4 linked regions of the Drosophila melanogaster genome follow. The gene in region 1 interacts genetically with each later gene. Each region holds a gene or a part of one and is shown in the gene's direction. Other genes may lie near its edges. The genes, in order: emc, l(1)sc, RpS17 and E(spl)mbeta-HLH.

Region 1 (6,181 bases):
TCACAAACAACGACGCGCCCGCTCATTTTCAATGAAAATTTCCACAATTTCCTCAATGGATCGTCGTCGACCCATCATGTGTGTGAAATACAATCGTGGATTTCTTGCCCAGAAACCCTGCAACTTCTTCGGTGCAATGGAGTGGGAGAGAAGTCGAGGCGCCTCGAACTCTTATGTGTGTTCAAGATGTCGTGGACTCAAATTAAGATAAGATGCAGATAAGCCGTGCATTTCGATTTAGCCGTTTGAAAACTCGTTAATAAGAATTTGGTCAATCCACTGATAACGACTAGTTTTCCATTGAACGGAGGCGCATAACGCTTATCTTTGTTAGGAATAAATATGACAAATTGAACGACTACCGTTTAATCGTTTGTCTATATACGAAAACTTAACAGGATTGTTCGAGCTATCAGTTTATTTGAATAGTTATTGTTAATGAAAACTACTACTAACTAGCCCAATATAATATATTATGAATATTTACTCTTCTTATTTTCAAATGATTTAAAATTTTCACCATTCCACAGCGATTAAAATCTAATTTACCCATGCATATATTTAATATTCATTCTGTAATTAATCAAGCCCTTGTTGAACCACTCGCATTGTCTTTTTCGCCTTTTCGTGTTGATTGTGGAACCTCCTTATCCCACAAAACACTTTTCATTCATTTTCATGCTCATTCACAAAACATGAGAAAAAAAAAAGAAAAACAAACATTGCAGTCGTGAGAGGAAAATTATTGAGCGAGAGTTACTGTTCGTGTTTTCTCATTTTCAGCTGAGAAAAGCAGCCGACCAATCACAAAACCATTTCCCCTTTACAAAAAACCGATCATTTTGCATCTCGTGGAGAGTATTCAGATTTGTTTGGAGAGTTTCGGAGAGGAACTCGTTAAGCCGGGTCTACAAAGGTGAGTATCTGTGGACCGTGGTGGAGTCAGGGGAAATGTTAGTGCTTTAAAAAGTGTCTACTATGTGTGGAATTTGGATTGTATCTTGTGGATTGGATATTGTGGTAAGGTTGAGTTTCATTTGGTATCTCGGGTAGAAGTCAATGAGGTGGATGTTCGGGCACACAGGCTGTAGAACTTGTTGGATATTTTGTCAAGAACTGAAAGTATCCGAAAGGATTAATTCATAGCATATATACCTCAGTTGTATTTTGAATTATTTTAAATTAGTTTTCTCAGAATTCATGGGCTTCACACTACACATCTTCCCCTCTTAAGATCTCAGGCTTAAATTCGTACTCCATTCTCATTGTGGATTTGAAATGATGACTGTGAAGACCAAACACGAAGGGCTACCCCTTAATTCCACATTCTTGTCCACCAAAGCAGACCTCTCCGCAACTCACCTCTTAGGAACTCTCCTAAATTCCGGTTTCAAGTTGTGGTCCAAGTTCCACATGGACACCAATGAGACACATTCCCCAGTCTCCACTCTCCAACCAAGTACATATCTCTCTCCAGCCGAACGAACCCGAGAGCGAAGACTCCGCCTATCGGATTCGGAAATGCCCGTTCGGGGGGTATAAAAGCGGGCGCTCTGAGCGAGCACCACTCATTCGTTGTCTGACCGCTCGCAGCAAAAGATATAGAAATCGAGAACGTAAACGCAGAAAACACGCTGGATTAAAGTGTTTCGTTTCGAACATCGACAGAGTGAGAAAACAAAGTGAAGTGAGCGCACAAAGCCGAAATCAAATCAAATTGAAAAGCCAGTCAAGAGCAATCTTTAACTGAACCTCGCAAGTAATCCGGTACGACCGTGTAACAACCGCCAAGATTCTACTCAAGGAGCGTAAAGCAATCATCTCCAGAATGAAGTCCCTGACGGCCGTCTGCCAGACAGGTGCCTCCGGAATGCCGGCCTTGAATGCCAGCGGGCGCATCCAGCGCCATCCCACGCACCGCGGCGACGGGGAGAACGCCGAGATGAAGATGTATCTGTCCAAACTGAAGGACCTCGTTCCGTTCATGCCCAAGAACAGGAAGCTCACCAAGCTGGAGATCATCCAGCACGTCATCGACTACATCTGCGACCTGCAGACCGAGCTGGAGACGCACCCCGAGATGGGCAACTTCGATGCGGCAGCCGCTCTGACGGCGGTGAACGGACTCCACGAGGACGAGGACAGCGACATGGAGGATGCGGATGCCGAGGCAGAAGCGGAAGTCGATCCAGATATCCTCGCCCAGCGCCTGAATGCCGAGCAGCCGGCGAAAGTCTCTAGTCCCGCCGCCCGTCTCCCGCTTACCGATCGCCAAACGCCCAACACTCTTGTGGCGCCCGCCCATCCGCAGCAGCATCAGCAGCAGCAGCAACTGCAACTGCAGCAGCAACAACTGCAATCACAGCAGCAACTGTCCAACAGTTTAGCAACGGTGAGTTAACAAACAAATTGCTAGGGTAGTGAAAAACCCAAATAGGAAGTGGGCAGATGAGCACAGCTCAGGTCGAAATATTAGGAGAAATAATAAGGTTATGGAATATTTAAAGTAGTTATTTTTGAGAAAATAACATAGTTAAACATTTAAAGTACATGACTTCACTGGTTTCAACTAGACAATAAAGCGATTAATTGCTAAAGTTACGATAAGGAAGTGCGAATATCGCAAAGTTTGCGATCCACCGATTTTCGCTATTTCCTTGAGTGCCATTATTTTGACCGCAGCTGTTTGGCATTTGCATTGCAAATTTAGGAGACAATTGAGTGTCAAACTGTTTGGCTTTACTTGTTTTTGTTTCGCGAGTGACCTCATTCATAAGGCGATTGACGAATGTTTGCGTGAATGTTGTTTTTTTTCATTTTGTTTTATTTTTTTTTAACGGAAGGACGAGGCGCGTTTCGTTTCGTTGGCGAGTTTTGGGAAATTTCTTTATTGGGCGGGTGGCTTTAGACAACGCGGCCTGCCCGATTTTGTCGTACCCTCTTCTTCGCCGCACAGATTCATTTCGTTTTTATAGACATTTCACAGACCGTCTCTGTGCGATTGTATGCGTTGCGGTTGTTGTCGCCATCGTTTCTTTCTTTTGTGTGTTGCCTATACGTAGCTGTTAATTTTTTCTCGCGGCCTTTTTCTGTTGTTGTGATGTTTTAAATGAACACCTGCAGATACTTAAATTTATTTCACACACACTCGCACACACACATACTCACTCACTCACACGCACTTGCGAGCTTGAAAACGGAATTTGGAATTGGGGAATCATCAGTCTTCGTATTTTATTTCATTTGGGTTTATTTTTTGGCTCACTTCATTAGCTCTCAGCTTCGTTACTTCTTCGTTTTTGGACTTTCGGTTATTAATGATGCTGGCGAAAAAATTCGTTTGAGATCTACAATATGTTCGTAAAAACAGGTTCGAAAAAGCTTTTTTTTCAATGGGTTTCTCAAACAAATGATCGACTGGGTGGCCCGGCAAGTGTTATTAATTTTCGATCTCTGATTGTTGATTAATTGTGAAGGTGGAAACCCTTCTTCGAAATTCAGAAAGATGGTTTTGAAATCGTGCCTTCGTCATTCCTGGCTATGAGTTACTTCTTAAATTTTTGATTAATTAACTGTGGGTCTTTAGCTCAGTCCGCTTTGCGTAGGTCTCTTTTCTCTCATTTTGGGTGCGTAATTTTTGTGTTTTTGTTGCAAAACATCTGCAACCCACAAACATATATACTTTTTGTGTTTGTATGATGTGTCACCGCCGCAACAACAACAACAAGCCAACAACAATCCGAGAATTCTTTCGAAAACACGCACACACACACACACAGAAGAACACATGGGGGCACTCAGAAAACTGTAAAAAGAAATGCACGTGTTCAAAATGTTCTCTCTGTGGGTTGTTTTCAGTTGTTTTTGCTGTTTCTTTTTCGATTTTTTTTTCGCGCAGCTGTGCGCCAGTCGCCAGTCGGTCGCTTTCTACATTGTGTTCCCCCCACGGATCCTGCCCCCCCCCCTCCACAACCGCCCCCTCGCAGTAAGAGAGCAGAAGACGGAGGAGAAGAGAGCGCAAGACACTGGGGGAAAAACTGCGTGATTTCAACGTTTTGCTGATTTTCAACTGGGTATACTTGTGCAAGCAAGCTACCTGAGATGTTATTTTAAAACATGTTGTATCTTCTAATGCACATGTTCTTAGTGCAAAACATTTTTCCCAGTGCCAAAGAACTCAAATAAGTGCAAAACAAAAGCTCAATGACAGCGCGTTTGATTTTCTTGGCGCCTCTTTATTGCCCCATCCCCTCCACTCATCGAAATCAGCCTCTCGGCGAGTGTCCCAAACACAAACAAAACAAACAAATCAGTGGAACAGGGAACTAATTGATAACATAGAATGGCGAAATAATACAGCTTATAAACTAATTATTGCATTTCAATCGCACATTAATAATGTACTAATTTGAATCTTCCCGCTTCTCTCTTTTTAGCCACAGAATGCGGAGAAAGACAGCAGACAGTCGTAAGCGTGGAAACGCCCAGCCGGGAAAACCCACGGAACCTATAAGCCTATTAACTAAATGCATAATGAAAGTACAGTCAAAACTCCACTCGCAACCTTCGTGTGAAGATCTCCGCATAAGATAACGTGTGAAACTCTCAAGAAAACCACAGCCCAGGCGCATCTCTTCAACGCTCCTTTTCCCGGGAAACGGAAAACCCGGGAAAACGAGACCTCGCTTTTGGCTCCAACAGAGTTTAGTTTAAACATTTAATAACAAGAATACAACAACACAAAACCTAGCATTAGAGCAGCGTAAGCAAGTACACATTATGATTATTAATTAAACATTACAACTAGGATGATGGCGCTTAAGAATGAACGGAAGAAAGAAAACTTGGCAAAGCTTTAAACAATTTAATTTTCCTTTAACGCTTGAAATTACACTGAAGCATATATTTTTGTTTTCCTAATTTTAGTTTTGTTTTGGTTTAAACAACGCAAGAAAAAATGTTACTAATGCAAAGCAAACAGAGATCAGCAATAAAAAAAAATTATAAAAATGCACAGGCACCAAACTGGAATTACGTTGAATCACCGTTTCCTGCATTACGATTATATGATTTCAATCCAAATGATTTTCCTATTAATTTTAATCAATGAAGAGTTTTCCTATTATTGATTAGCCACAGCCAATAAACAACAAGAACAACCAACTCAGCAGCACACACACATTCAAATTCATTAATTTATATCGAGAGAGTACGTTTAGAGTTTAAGTTCGAGAAAGTTCATTTCCAGGCACTAATTTTCACTCACACCACTCACATAGAAAAACACAAACACCTCATTTTGTAGTTTTCCGAGTCCCTTGGATCGTTTTCCTCTTTTTTAATCGAAATAACGCATAATGCATAATAATTATTACCAGATATACACTAAAACCTATAAATATATATTAATATATGTTCTGTGATCTGTAGCATACTTTGTACAAAGTGTTTTTTTTAGCATAATTATGCGATTTTAATTATGATCCGCAATCGAAATTACACATTTTTGTTCTCATTTCGATGGTAAAAACACTCTATCATGATGTAAAAAAAAAAAACAAAAGAAAACATTTGATGATGTTGCGAAAAAATATATTATCTAAAACATAAAGAAAAACAAACACTAGCTCTTAATAAATTGCAAAAATTTAAAAAACATTAAAAATCGAATATGTCAATGGATTTCCGTTGGGAGCAGGGGATTAAGAAACTACCAGATCTTACCGCAAAAGTCGGTAACTACCTGCAGACAACGACAACAAGTAGCCGGGGGAGGAAAACTCAGCTGGATGGCCATTTTCACATGTAAACAAGTGCAACGAATTACCAGAACAATGAGGTGGATGATATTATTCTCGGAGTTTCATGGGCGAGCGAGTTTTCTCACGCAGCCGCCGCCTTTGTCATTAGGGGTTTGGTTTTCCCATTTTCCATTTCCCAGGTAAAACGGCCGTAGGGTCCGTTGAAAACTCGACCTGCACACGTGTGCGAATTGCGGACGGAAAATTTCCGTTGAGAAAATTTCCTTCACTGTGGCCTGGCCGCTTTTCCTTTTATTTCACGTACGAACCACTTGGGTGTGGATTTAGTTTTGGATTTTCTGCGCTACCCGCAGCTGCCTGCCCACCCACTTCCACTCACACTCACACTCCCACGGCCCACCGCCCACTGTCTCCCTCTC
Region 2 (3,638 bases), on another chromosome or scaffold:
ATGAACCTGACAACCCTGGCCAGTTGTTCACTATTTTATATTTACTGCGTCCCCCAAAAACGAAACTGGGATCAACACTATTCTGATCTCATGCGGATTAATTAATCACTGAACATTATAGGGCATGGTGTCCGAGGCTTATGAAATTGAAACCAAAACCTTTTTTACTTTCCTATTTTTTGGTGGGTGTGTTTGGAGCATATTAAAAGAGTATTTGAAAAGGGTTTGCTTCGAACCAAGAGAAATACAAAGGTGATGACGCAAAGATTTTTATTCTAGATATTATAAATGCATTAGAAAACGAATTCGGTAGCAACTTTTAAAAACCAATTATTAGGTAAATGGTGTTTTTTTTTTTTTTTTTTTTTTGCTTTATTATGATTTTCAGCGTTCATTCTTGTGGGATCAATTTCCTCTAATTTTCTGATCTCCTTTAGGGCAGCTGCTTATGGCTTTTTTTAAGATTTTATGCATTTATGGGAGCAATCTCGTAACTCGACTTATCCGTCTTCGGTAACGGTATTGCCTTCCCATTGCAACAAAGTTGCAAGTTGCGAATCCAGAAATTTGTTTCAGATTCAGCTCCTTACAGATTTATGAATGCTTAATTTAATTGCAGGGGGATTGTTGGTAAACGGAATAACTTTACTTTCTTGGACTGGGCATAATAAGTCACAACCCTACAGCAAGCAGCAAATAAATAAAGACATAACATTTTTTAAAGCTTTTTGAAATACTAATTTGCTAGTCAAATAACATTTAAAGACCTTTTTTAATGCTTTTCGACATACTAATTTGATAATTTAGAACTAAACCTGATTATGAGTGATGTCTTGATATTAAAGCAACACAAATGCTTCATGCTTTAAAATCAAAACTGCCATTCGATTTTTAGAAGTATTCCACGAAATAATTATCTTTAAAAGAAAATATTTATTCAATAATGCAACACTATCAAAATATTTTCCCAAAAAAATATTTTAAATTGCATCGTAGCCTTAATACGATTTAATGAGTTATGCAAATTAATTGAATTCAGTTTTTGTTTGTTCATACAAGACATATATTAACCAGTCAGAAATATTACATTTTTTGTCGAGTGCACAGCCCAAATTTAGATCGCTTTCTTGTATCACAAGCGTTTGATGAAAGGGTAAGAGTGTTTCGACTGCAACTTTGATCCCAACTGCTGTCAATATTCAATGCCTTTGTGATGGTTTCGTTTTTATTTGTCTGGCCGTCCCCTTACTTATTATAGTACGCTTGGTATTCATGATACAGCACACACTTGTGGGATTTTGTCTGCGCCGCTCTGCGATGTTATGTATCATTGTTTTGAAGCTTATGCTAATGCACCGGACTGATCGGAAGCACGTGTCAAATGCAGATGGGTCAGAAAAAATATTAATGAAGGTTCATAACATTACAGGATATAAAAGTGGATACGCAGTTTTAAAGACAGTGAAAGTCCCACGACATGGTCTTTTAAGTTTGTTTCTTTTGCCTTCGCATCATTTTCTTTCATTTGATGGATCACATTTTATATCAAATTCCCTTCCAAGATCTCACTCTCCTTTATTTTTCGCTTTCAATGCAAACGACATTCGACAAAAGTGGAAGTGCATTCAAAATCTTTTTTTTTAGCCATGACAAGGATCTTGCAGATCTGAGATTTAAAATTTTCCCAAAAGGAAAAAATGCATTATGTAGACGGACACAAAGGACAAAGAGTGTGTGGGAGAGGGAAAAGGATGGGTAGGTAGGCACACAGAGACTGAGTAGGAATAGAGGCACCCACCACAGAAAAAGAACCCCTAGAAAGAGAGGAAAAATGTACGATCACTTGTGCAAAGGACTTAGGTCCCGGTTTTTCGAGGGCAGGTAGCCAGGATCCGACCCCGTACCAACCCCTGTAGCTCCTCTGCCGAAGTCGCTGCCTCTGTCGCGGCGCGTTTCCCTCTGCCACTGCCGGGTATTTAAAGCCCTAGATCAGAACAGCAATTATCATTGCGGAATCTGATTCCACACAGTCAACATCTGTAAACTAAATCTTAGAAAACTCTCGCAAGGATTACCATGACGAGCATTTGCAGCAGCAAATTCCAGCAGCAGCATTACCAGCTGACCAACAGTAACATTTTCTTGCTGCAACATCAGCATCACCATCAAACGCAGCAGCACCAGTTGATTGCTCCGAAAATACCTTTGGGTACCAGCCAACTGCAGAATATGCAGCAGAGTCAACAGTCCAATGTTGGACCCATGTTGTCCTCCCAGAAGAAGAAGTTCAACTACAATAACATGCCCTATGGCGAGCAATTGCCATCGGTAGCCAGACGAAATGCCCGTGAACGCAATCGCGTGAAGCAGGTGAACAATGGATTCGTCAATCTCCGCCAGCATTTGCCTCAAACTGTGGTAAACTCGCTGTCCAATGGAGGACGTGGTAGCAGCAAGAAGTTATCCAAGGTGGACACACTGCGAATCGCCGTTGAATATATTCGAGGACTACAGGACATGCTTGATGATGGCACTGCTTCATCAACTCGTCACATCTACAATTCCGCCGATGAAAGTAGCAACGATGGCAGCAGCTATAACGATTACAACGATAGTTTGGACAGTTCGCAACAGTTCTTGACGGGAGCCACCCAGTCTGCCCAATCCCACTCGTACCACTCCGCCTCGCCCACGCCGTCGTACTCCGGATCCGAGATTTCCGGAGGTGGCTATATCAAACAGGAACTACAAGAGCAGGACCTCAAATTCGACTCCTTTGATAGCTTCAGTGACGAGCAGCCAGATGACGAGGAGCTACTCGATTATATTTCATCTTGGCAAGAGCAGTGAAGGGGTCTTACTAAAAGTCCCAAACAAACAAATATTGTACAAACTGTAAATACCCTAAATTGTTGCCTTAGTGAGTGTAAAACCAAGTCTCAAATTTCACATTAGCCTCTAAGTTACCCCATATTTTTTTTTATTATATTTTAACGCAATGGAAGACATATTTTTTTCATAGTTATAAGTTTGTTATAAGCATGGAAGACACTAAACTAACTACTTTTAAGCCAAAATAAAAACATATTGATAAATTTAATTCCAAATGTTTTTTACTGAAATCACTTACTCGTAAATATATTCAGATCGTCATGTAGGGTAATTACAACGAGTTCTCGTTCTCATACCAGCATCAGAGCCAAAAAGGTTTTTAAACAATCTGCATTTTGAAGCATTGCTTTGACTATATATATGTTATGATATTCGTTTTTAATTTATGTATTTTTATATTATTATTATTATTTTTTAGCTTAGCTGTTTTGGCCTCAGGCTTAATAATGGTACTAGCGATAGAAATAATAATTTCACAAAAAAGTTACCCAATTTATTATTTATATTCAATTACTTTTGGAGCGTGGACATGACTCACTCAAAATTCGTAACCAACATAGAGTTAAGCACCTGACAGGAAACAACAGCGAATATTTTCATGATTGGTTCCCTAACGAGCTACAATTCGGCCGGGAATTGTTAATGGCGCGTAAATAGCCCGGAAATAGGCAGTCACGCCTGAGAGGATGAAATTGTCCTAGTCCAAGGATCAGTACTTGAAGACTCGCACAATCCACGTGGCTGGC
Region 3 (3,199 bases), 8.7 Mb from region 1:
ACATTTTTCTACACGAATAATATTGCAATTCCAGAACGGGTTGTTGTTATCATATCTATAAAACACCACGCCTAAGCAAAAAAACATTCCAAATACAAGCAAATCATAAAATACACATGCAGCGGTGGGTGTACGTGCAAGTGGGGAATACCTCGTCTCAATTGTGAAATAAGCTGGAGAATTGGATGTGGAGTCCCTAGAGATGCTGTTTCCAGTTCCCTGGTCGTTATCACAGTTGATTGGAGGATTTGCAGCCTCGTTGGGGCTGGACACCATGCTGAGCGAGACCACAGTGGGCGGCTGGACTTGGACGAGCCTCTGGTTCTCGAACTGGTATTCCAGCGTGAAGCAGATGTCATCCAGATTGAACACCTGGGCGGTGATATCGCTCAGACTGGCTATCAGCGGAACTTCAGAGTGGCTGGAGCTGAGATTCTCGGTGGTATGGTGATATGTGATGGGTATGACCGTGATGGGCAATGGTGTTAGTTGATCCGCAAGCGAAAAAGCGTTGTCCGCTGCCGCAGATACAACAACTTGTGAATGGCCATGAGTTTGAGATGCAGTGAGTTGATCCTGGGCACCGAATAGGTCGCCATATGTCGCCTGGGCGTCCCCCGTATCAAGGGTGAGGCCCAGATTAAGCACCTGTTGCTCGCCACTTGTGGATTCCGCCGTCTGGCTGCCGTAGATGCTGTAGTTGTCCCCATGGATGATGCCCAGCCCGTCGGCCTCCAATTTCGGTTCGAGCAACTGAGCTAGTGGCCTGTCGAAGTCCAGGGAACCAGAGGAGGAGCAATTGGATGTGACGGGCGGGGAGCCGGAAAGCGAATTGCGCGACGAGTTGGTATCATAATCCCGGCTGTCTGATAACGAATTTCCATGACTATTAGCGGTAGTCTTCCACTCGCTGTGGAAGTAGTGTTGTTGTTGTTGCTGGTGTTGTTTCTCTTGGTCGTTCATGTCGTATTATTTGTTATTTGCACACCCACGCACACTAAGACAAACGCTTGCTATATCGCATATGATATGCAGTTGTTATTCTCTTTCTCTGCTGCCACCGTGCAATATGTACATATATATAGATTGCTAAAGAAATTAGAGATCGCGAGATCGAAAAGCACACATCCGCGATCGAAAAGCACAAGCAACAACGATAAGAACCAGTGTGACCATGGGCGGAACGACAAAATATAACGCGGTTCTGGCTGAAATATACCATAAACTGGGATATACCGAAAATAGTGGAACGCAAAAGGGGACACCGCTTAGTGGGGACTCAAACCGCGTGTAGAGTTTTAGGCGGAGTCTCCAAGCGTGGTGTGAAATTGAAACTAAGGTGTTCTAATTTAAAGAATGAATAAATTTGCGAAACCAATATACTGCCGAATAGACTTATTTTTAAAGATTTTATATATTTTCTTATAAAAAAGAGTTTGTTTCATAACAAGTATTCTAGCCCATATTTAGGTACCATTGCACTGTACAATAGTCTCATTTAAAATGTTTAGTACAATAATGCGGTTTTTGTTAAATAATGTGTTCTAAGGTTCAAGTCCTCTCTTATTTCTATTTAATTCATCTACCTTCGAGATTTGCATAATTATGGTATATTTGCGGTATATTTTAGTATGTTTTTCACACAACCACCCTGGTCACACGGCATCCTTCTTTTTCTTTCGTTTCCGGCGAGGTATGTGCACAAATTTTGTTTCTCCACGTTTTTCTTAAAAATAATTGCTTATTTCTCATTTTAGCGGTGATTAAAATATCCATCGAGCAACATAATGGTACGTACCAACGAAAAACTGGCTGAACTCGAATCAAAAAGCGGTCAAACAAGCATAAAACGGCAACGACAGCCGCTTATCCCACGTGCATAGTGCCAATTTTGTTACCCCAAAAGCAATTATTTGTATCCGGCGTCTTGAAACCGTCCTTAATATCAATACCAAATAGCAATTCAAACGGAAACTTTAAAAGAAACCTAAACTAAAACCGAGTGAAGGCCTCTTACATTAAAAGTCCCCGAAAAATGCCGCAACTATCTCAGAAAATCAGCTGCAAATAACTATTTAGTTGTGACAGAAAACTATCGCAAAGATACAACAAAATGGATTGAACTATCGTGATACTAAACATTTTATCAACTACCACAGGGTCGCGTACGAACCAAGACGGTGAAGAAGGCCGCTAAGGTCATCATCGAGAAGTACTACACTCGCCTGACGTTGGACTTCCACACCAACAAGCGCATCTGCGAGGAGGTGGCCATCATTCCCACCAAGCCCCTGCGCAACAAGATTGCCGGGTAAGTGCCGCTCAAATCTCGTTAGTGAGTGGATCTATAATCCCCAAATTCCTTTCCAGCTATGTCACCCATTTGATGGGCCGCCTGCGTCACTCCCAGGTGCGTGGTATCTCCATCAAGTTGCAGGAGGAGGAGCGTGAGCGTCGTGACAACTACGTCCCGGCCGTCTCCGCTCTGGAGCAGGACATCATCGAGGTCGACGCCGACACCAAGGAGATGTTGAAGCTTCTGGACTTCCACAACATCCGTGGCCTGCAGCTCACCCAGCCCAACACCAACAACTTTGGTCGTCGCAACTAAGATTTGTATAGCGCGTAGATGATGATGTTCTGATTTGCATGGGATCACAATAAATTTGTGTGAAGTGCATTTAAAGTGTATGTTTTTGTGTTTCAATTAATTATGCGTATTCGATTGAAAAATATCCAAAGTGAACATCGTTTCCAAAGTGGCTCACCAGGCAGGAAACTCGATCTAAATTCAAGAACCCCAAGTCTGTGTTCCGTTTATCATCTTTATTCGCATTCGAATGGAAAATACTGTAGACATGCACATATTTGTAAATATGTTTATATTCAATCCATAAATATATGGGTTCGTTTTTACACAGACGATATATAAAAGATATTCTACGAGTGCACAATATTTAAATCTAATCGTGTACGCTGATGCCAGTATATATAATTATTTGTTATGTATATGATGGGTGGTAGCTATACGTATGATTGTTCCCTCCGGTTCAGGAAGATGCTGATGTAATGGGCGACGCAGCCTGATCCTGCTGGGGTCTTCGCACCGGATTACGCAAGACCAGCTCGGAATCCTCCGAAATGATGGGCAGCGCGTGTGCCCAGTGGTAGTTGATCAGATGGCTAATGCTGTCGAAGA
Region 4 (3,473 bases), on another chromosome or scaffold:
TTCCTCTAATTGCTACAATTGGTATTAATGATTCGAGTTACGACAGTGATTCAGTTGTTAAGCTAGAAAAGTCTTTCAGTGGCGTTTAAAGGCATTTATAGCTACTACATGAAAATTGGAACTTCCGAATTACAATTGGAGCCCCTATACTATTTAGCTTTTAATTTAAGCTAGTTGAATGAATGGATTATATAAATGGATTATATTGTTATTACAAAATATTTCTTAATTTAACGTGTTATCTACAATTGTAGCTAAATTGTTTTTAAAAATCTTTAAATTTTTGAAATATTTTTTCCATATTTTTTATAGTATTGTTTCTTTAATAATCCAATATGAATTACTTCTTAATTGGTTGTTGCAAATATCATGCGACTAACTCACCCCAAAAATGCAACCACCACCCTCTGACGAACAGTTTGACACACTGCCGACCCATAAAATCCAATTAAGCATTTCCGGAGCATTCAGCTTTTTGACATCAACAGTTTAAGTGTCCCGGTCCAGCGGACAAAACGTTTCGGTTAGATAAGTTGTTAGCCGTTTGTGTCTTGGCCCGTTTATCACCGTTGCTGCTTTGTTTCGGCTAACTGTAGCTCATTTCGAATGCGTCGAGGGGCAATCTTAATTTGTCTTATTTGAGTTTGAATTTATATACACATAGTGATCGAGTAGCTGCCGTCTCGGAGCTTTTGTTATTCCTTATTTGTGTGCCAATGAGCCGGGCTCGTGTCATTTTCAATGAACGCCAGCGAGCGTCATCGTCGCCGGCACTTCTAATTAAATGTTGAGAAACCCGAGCTTAGGATCCGAGATGTGTCAGATGCCGGCGGATGGAGATCTAGCATCTCAAGCTGATGAATCACGACGATATAGCGTTAAAAATAAATACCGAATGTGCTAAATGTGTATACATACATATACATATATCGCGTATAGCCCACGAGCCATAACATTTATAGCGTGTGCTGGCAACAGCCATTACGATTGTAACCGACTTTCGCGCACACGTCGACTTCGATCGGTTCCCAGCCCGAAGTCGCTATGGTAATTGTCTACAAATAGAAGCGAGCGACGACCCAAGATCCCCAAGCGAACCCAAAACCCCCAACCGAACTGCAGCTGATCCCCAAACGATCCCCAACCGACAATCAAGAATAATCATGTAAACGAAAAGCGTAATGCTCGTCCCACGAAACCCACGACTACCACGATCCAATCAATGATCCATAAAGCGCTAACAAAAAAGCAAGAAACAGAAACACTGGCCCGTCTCGGGTTGGCCCGATGACGATTCCACAATTATCAGCGTGCCATAAGCTACTGCAAAAGGGTGAAGGCACATGGCAAGACTTGAGACCGAACCGAACCGAACCCAACCGCACCGAATTGAAGCCCAAAAGACCGGACCCCGACCATAGTCGACCATACAAATGAATTGAAATGCAAACATCTTGTTATGGATGGAAGGCATGTGCTCGCCTCGCATCGTATCTGGGATCCCAAGTCGCACAGACCTCTTAAAGGCGGCCCGTCCATCCGTCCGTCCGCTCAAGAAAGACGGTGGACGGAAAGACGAGGGACGAGGGATCGTACAAGACCCCAAGCATGCACAATCAGAAGAAGTCAGGCCAGCCGTCGTCATCGTCGTCGTCGTGGAAATCGGCTGCGAAACAGTTTCCCACGGTATAACAATCACAGCACATACATAAGGAGGGAGGGAGAGAGAGCGAGAAGGCGCAGCCCGCTCAAGTCATTTTATTGCCCTCACATATACAGGCAAAAGTATACAAAAAAACAGAAGCCACCACCACCACTACCACAACCAAGCACCACCAAGCCATCTGAAACCACCGCTGGCAACAGCAGCAGGCCGCGCACGAGGCAAAATGAGTGTCCCGCTCGCACTCACTGTCCAGTTCCCAGGGCGGCAGAGGCTATATAAAGCCGATCCCAGAGCCAGCCGACTCATTCAAAGCTCCGACTTCGTTGCGTGCACACAGAGTCTCCGAGTCCGAATCTAGTGGAACGTTGCGACTGTGGATTACGCGAGTTTACTTTACCCCCAATAAAAAAAAAACAAAACCAAACTACAACAAAATGGTTCTGGAAATGGAGATGTCCAAGACCTATCAGTACCGCAAGGTGATGAAGCCCATGCTGGAGCGTAAGCGCCGTGCCAGGATTAACAAGTGCCTGGACGAGCTCAAGGACATCATGGTGGAGTGCCTGACCCAGGAGGGCGAGCACATCACCCGGCTGGAGAAGGCCGACATCCTGGAGCTGACCGTGGAGCACATGAAGAAGCTGCGTGCCCAGAAGCAGCTGCGTCTGTCCAGCGTCACCGGTGGAGTGTCTCCGAGTGCCGATCCCAAGCTTAGCATCGCTGAGAGTTTCCGTGCTGGCTACGTTCATGCTGCCAATGAAGTGTCCAAAACCTTGGCCGCTGTACCCGGAGTGAGTGTGGATCTCGGCACCCAGCTGATGAGTCACCTTGGCCATCGTCTCAACTACCTGCAAGTGGTGGTTCCCTCGCTGCCCATTGGAGTGCCTCTTCAAGCTCCAGTAGAGGATCAAGCTATGGTCACTCCACCTCCCTCGGAATGCGACAGCTTGGAGAGCGGAGCCTGCAGCCCGGCGCCCAGCGAGGCCAGCTCCACCTCTGGCCCCATGTGGCGTCCCTGGTGATCAACTGGACTCCGGATGATATTCACCTGAATCGCCTTCAAGCGGAAGGCTTCTACAAATTTGTTGCCCCAAAGAGGTGCTGGACTTGAAACCGCACCGAACTCCTTGGAGATCATCAATTGCTGCCCAGGAATAGCTTTCCCAGCAGCCCAGCAGAGCCACCGATCATCTCTAGCAGAGCCTCAAATTTCGGCTATAGAGATGGCTGCTGCTCACTTCTTAAAGTCATAAAGAAATGAAAATAAATGAAATTCCAACTCAAGAATCTCTGCATTTACTTATTTCCCATAGAGCTGATTACTCAGACTTCCCAGACATTTAGTGGGCGTCCAACCGCAAACTAAAGCAACTAAAAAAAAGAAACCCCTTAAAACAAGAAACGAATTGGAGATAAACTCCGTGGTGAACCGAATCGCAGAGCCCACAGCCGGAAGTCGCTGAATATTTTCCCACACTCGGACTATCGTCTGGTCTCTCCGGCTTGGCCTCATTATGCCCCGAGAATTCGGATTGCGAGGGTATGCGGGGCTTTCAGGGGGCATACAACATACATACGTATATCTGCGGGAAGTTTTGCGCCGGCGCTGTCGCAATTAAATAATAAAATAAAGCAAAAAGTCAGTTCTAGGAAACGGCATTTATTATGAGGCCCGCCGAGTGTGAGAACCGCGGCTCCGCTGTCAATGGCTCAGCATTGTGGTCATTGTGTTTCGCTTTTTTTTTAAGATTTTGCTCTTTTTTAGTTTTTTTTTGTTCAGGCTTTGACAGCTTTAACTGCGCTTGAC

The links.
Region 2: of emc (region 1) and l(1)sc, changing one enhances a phenotype caused by changing the other (phenotypic enhancement), as found in Drosophila melanogaster (one study listed by BioGRID).
Region 3: of emc (region 1) and RpS17, changing one suppresses a phenotype caused by changing the other (phenotypic suppression), as found in Drosophila melanogaster (one study listed by BioGRID).
Region 4: of emc (region 1) and E(spl)mbeta-HLH, changing one enhances a phenotype caused by changing the other (phenotypic enhancement), as found in Drosophila melanogaster (one study listed by BioGRID).

The regions. Positions count from the first base shown.
Region 1 is NT_037436.4:747,836-754,016, forward strand, and holds emc (extra macrochaetae), read left to right. Parts: upstream 1-1,564; 5' UTR 1,565-1,828; coding exon 1,829-2,392; intron 2,393-4,436; coding exon 4,437-4,472; 3' UTR 4,473-5,657; downstream 5,658-6,181. UniProt on the Drosophila melanogaster protein: Participates in sensory organ patterning by antagonizing the neurogenic activity of the Achaete-scute complex (AS-C). It lacks a basic DNA-binding domain but is able to form heterodimers with other HLH proteins, thereby inhibiting DNA binding.
Region 2 is NC_004354.4:407,720-411,357, forward strand, and holds l(1)sc (lethal of scute), read left to right. Parts: upstream 1-2,001; 5' UTR 2,002-2,076; coding exon 2,077-2,850; 3' UTR 2,851-3,098; downstream 3,099-3,638. UniProt on the Drosophila melanogaster protein: AS-C proteins are involved in the determination of the neuronal precursors in the peripheral nervous system and the central nervous system.
Region 3 is NT_037436.4:9,428,286-9,431,484, reverse strand, and holds RpS17 (ribosomal protein S17), read left to right. Parts: upstream 1-1,663; 5' UTR 1,664-1,693; intron 1,694-1,757; 5' UTR 1,758-1,787; coding exon 1,788-1,790; intron 1,791-2,159; coding exon 2,160-2,311; intron 2,312-2,370; coding exon 2,371-2,611; 3' UTR 2,612-2,690; downstream 2,691-3,199. Other genes in the region: MTF-1 (metal response element-binding transcription Factor-1), read right to left, coding at 152-963; Shc (SHC-adaptor protein), read right to left, coding at 3,051-3,199.
Region 4 is NT_033777.3:26,004,521-26,007,993, reverse strand, and holds E(spl)mbeta-HLH (enhancer of split mbeta, helix-loop-helix), read left to right. Parts: upstream 1-1,970; 5' UTR 1,971-2,100; coding exon 2,101-2,688; 3' UTR 2,689-2,948; downstream 2,949-3,473.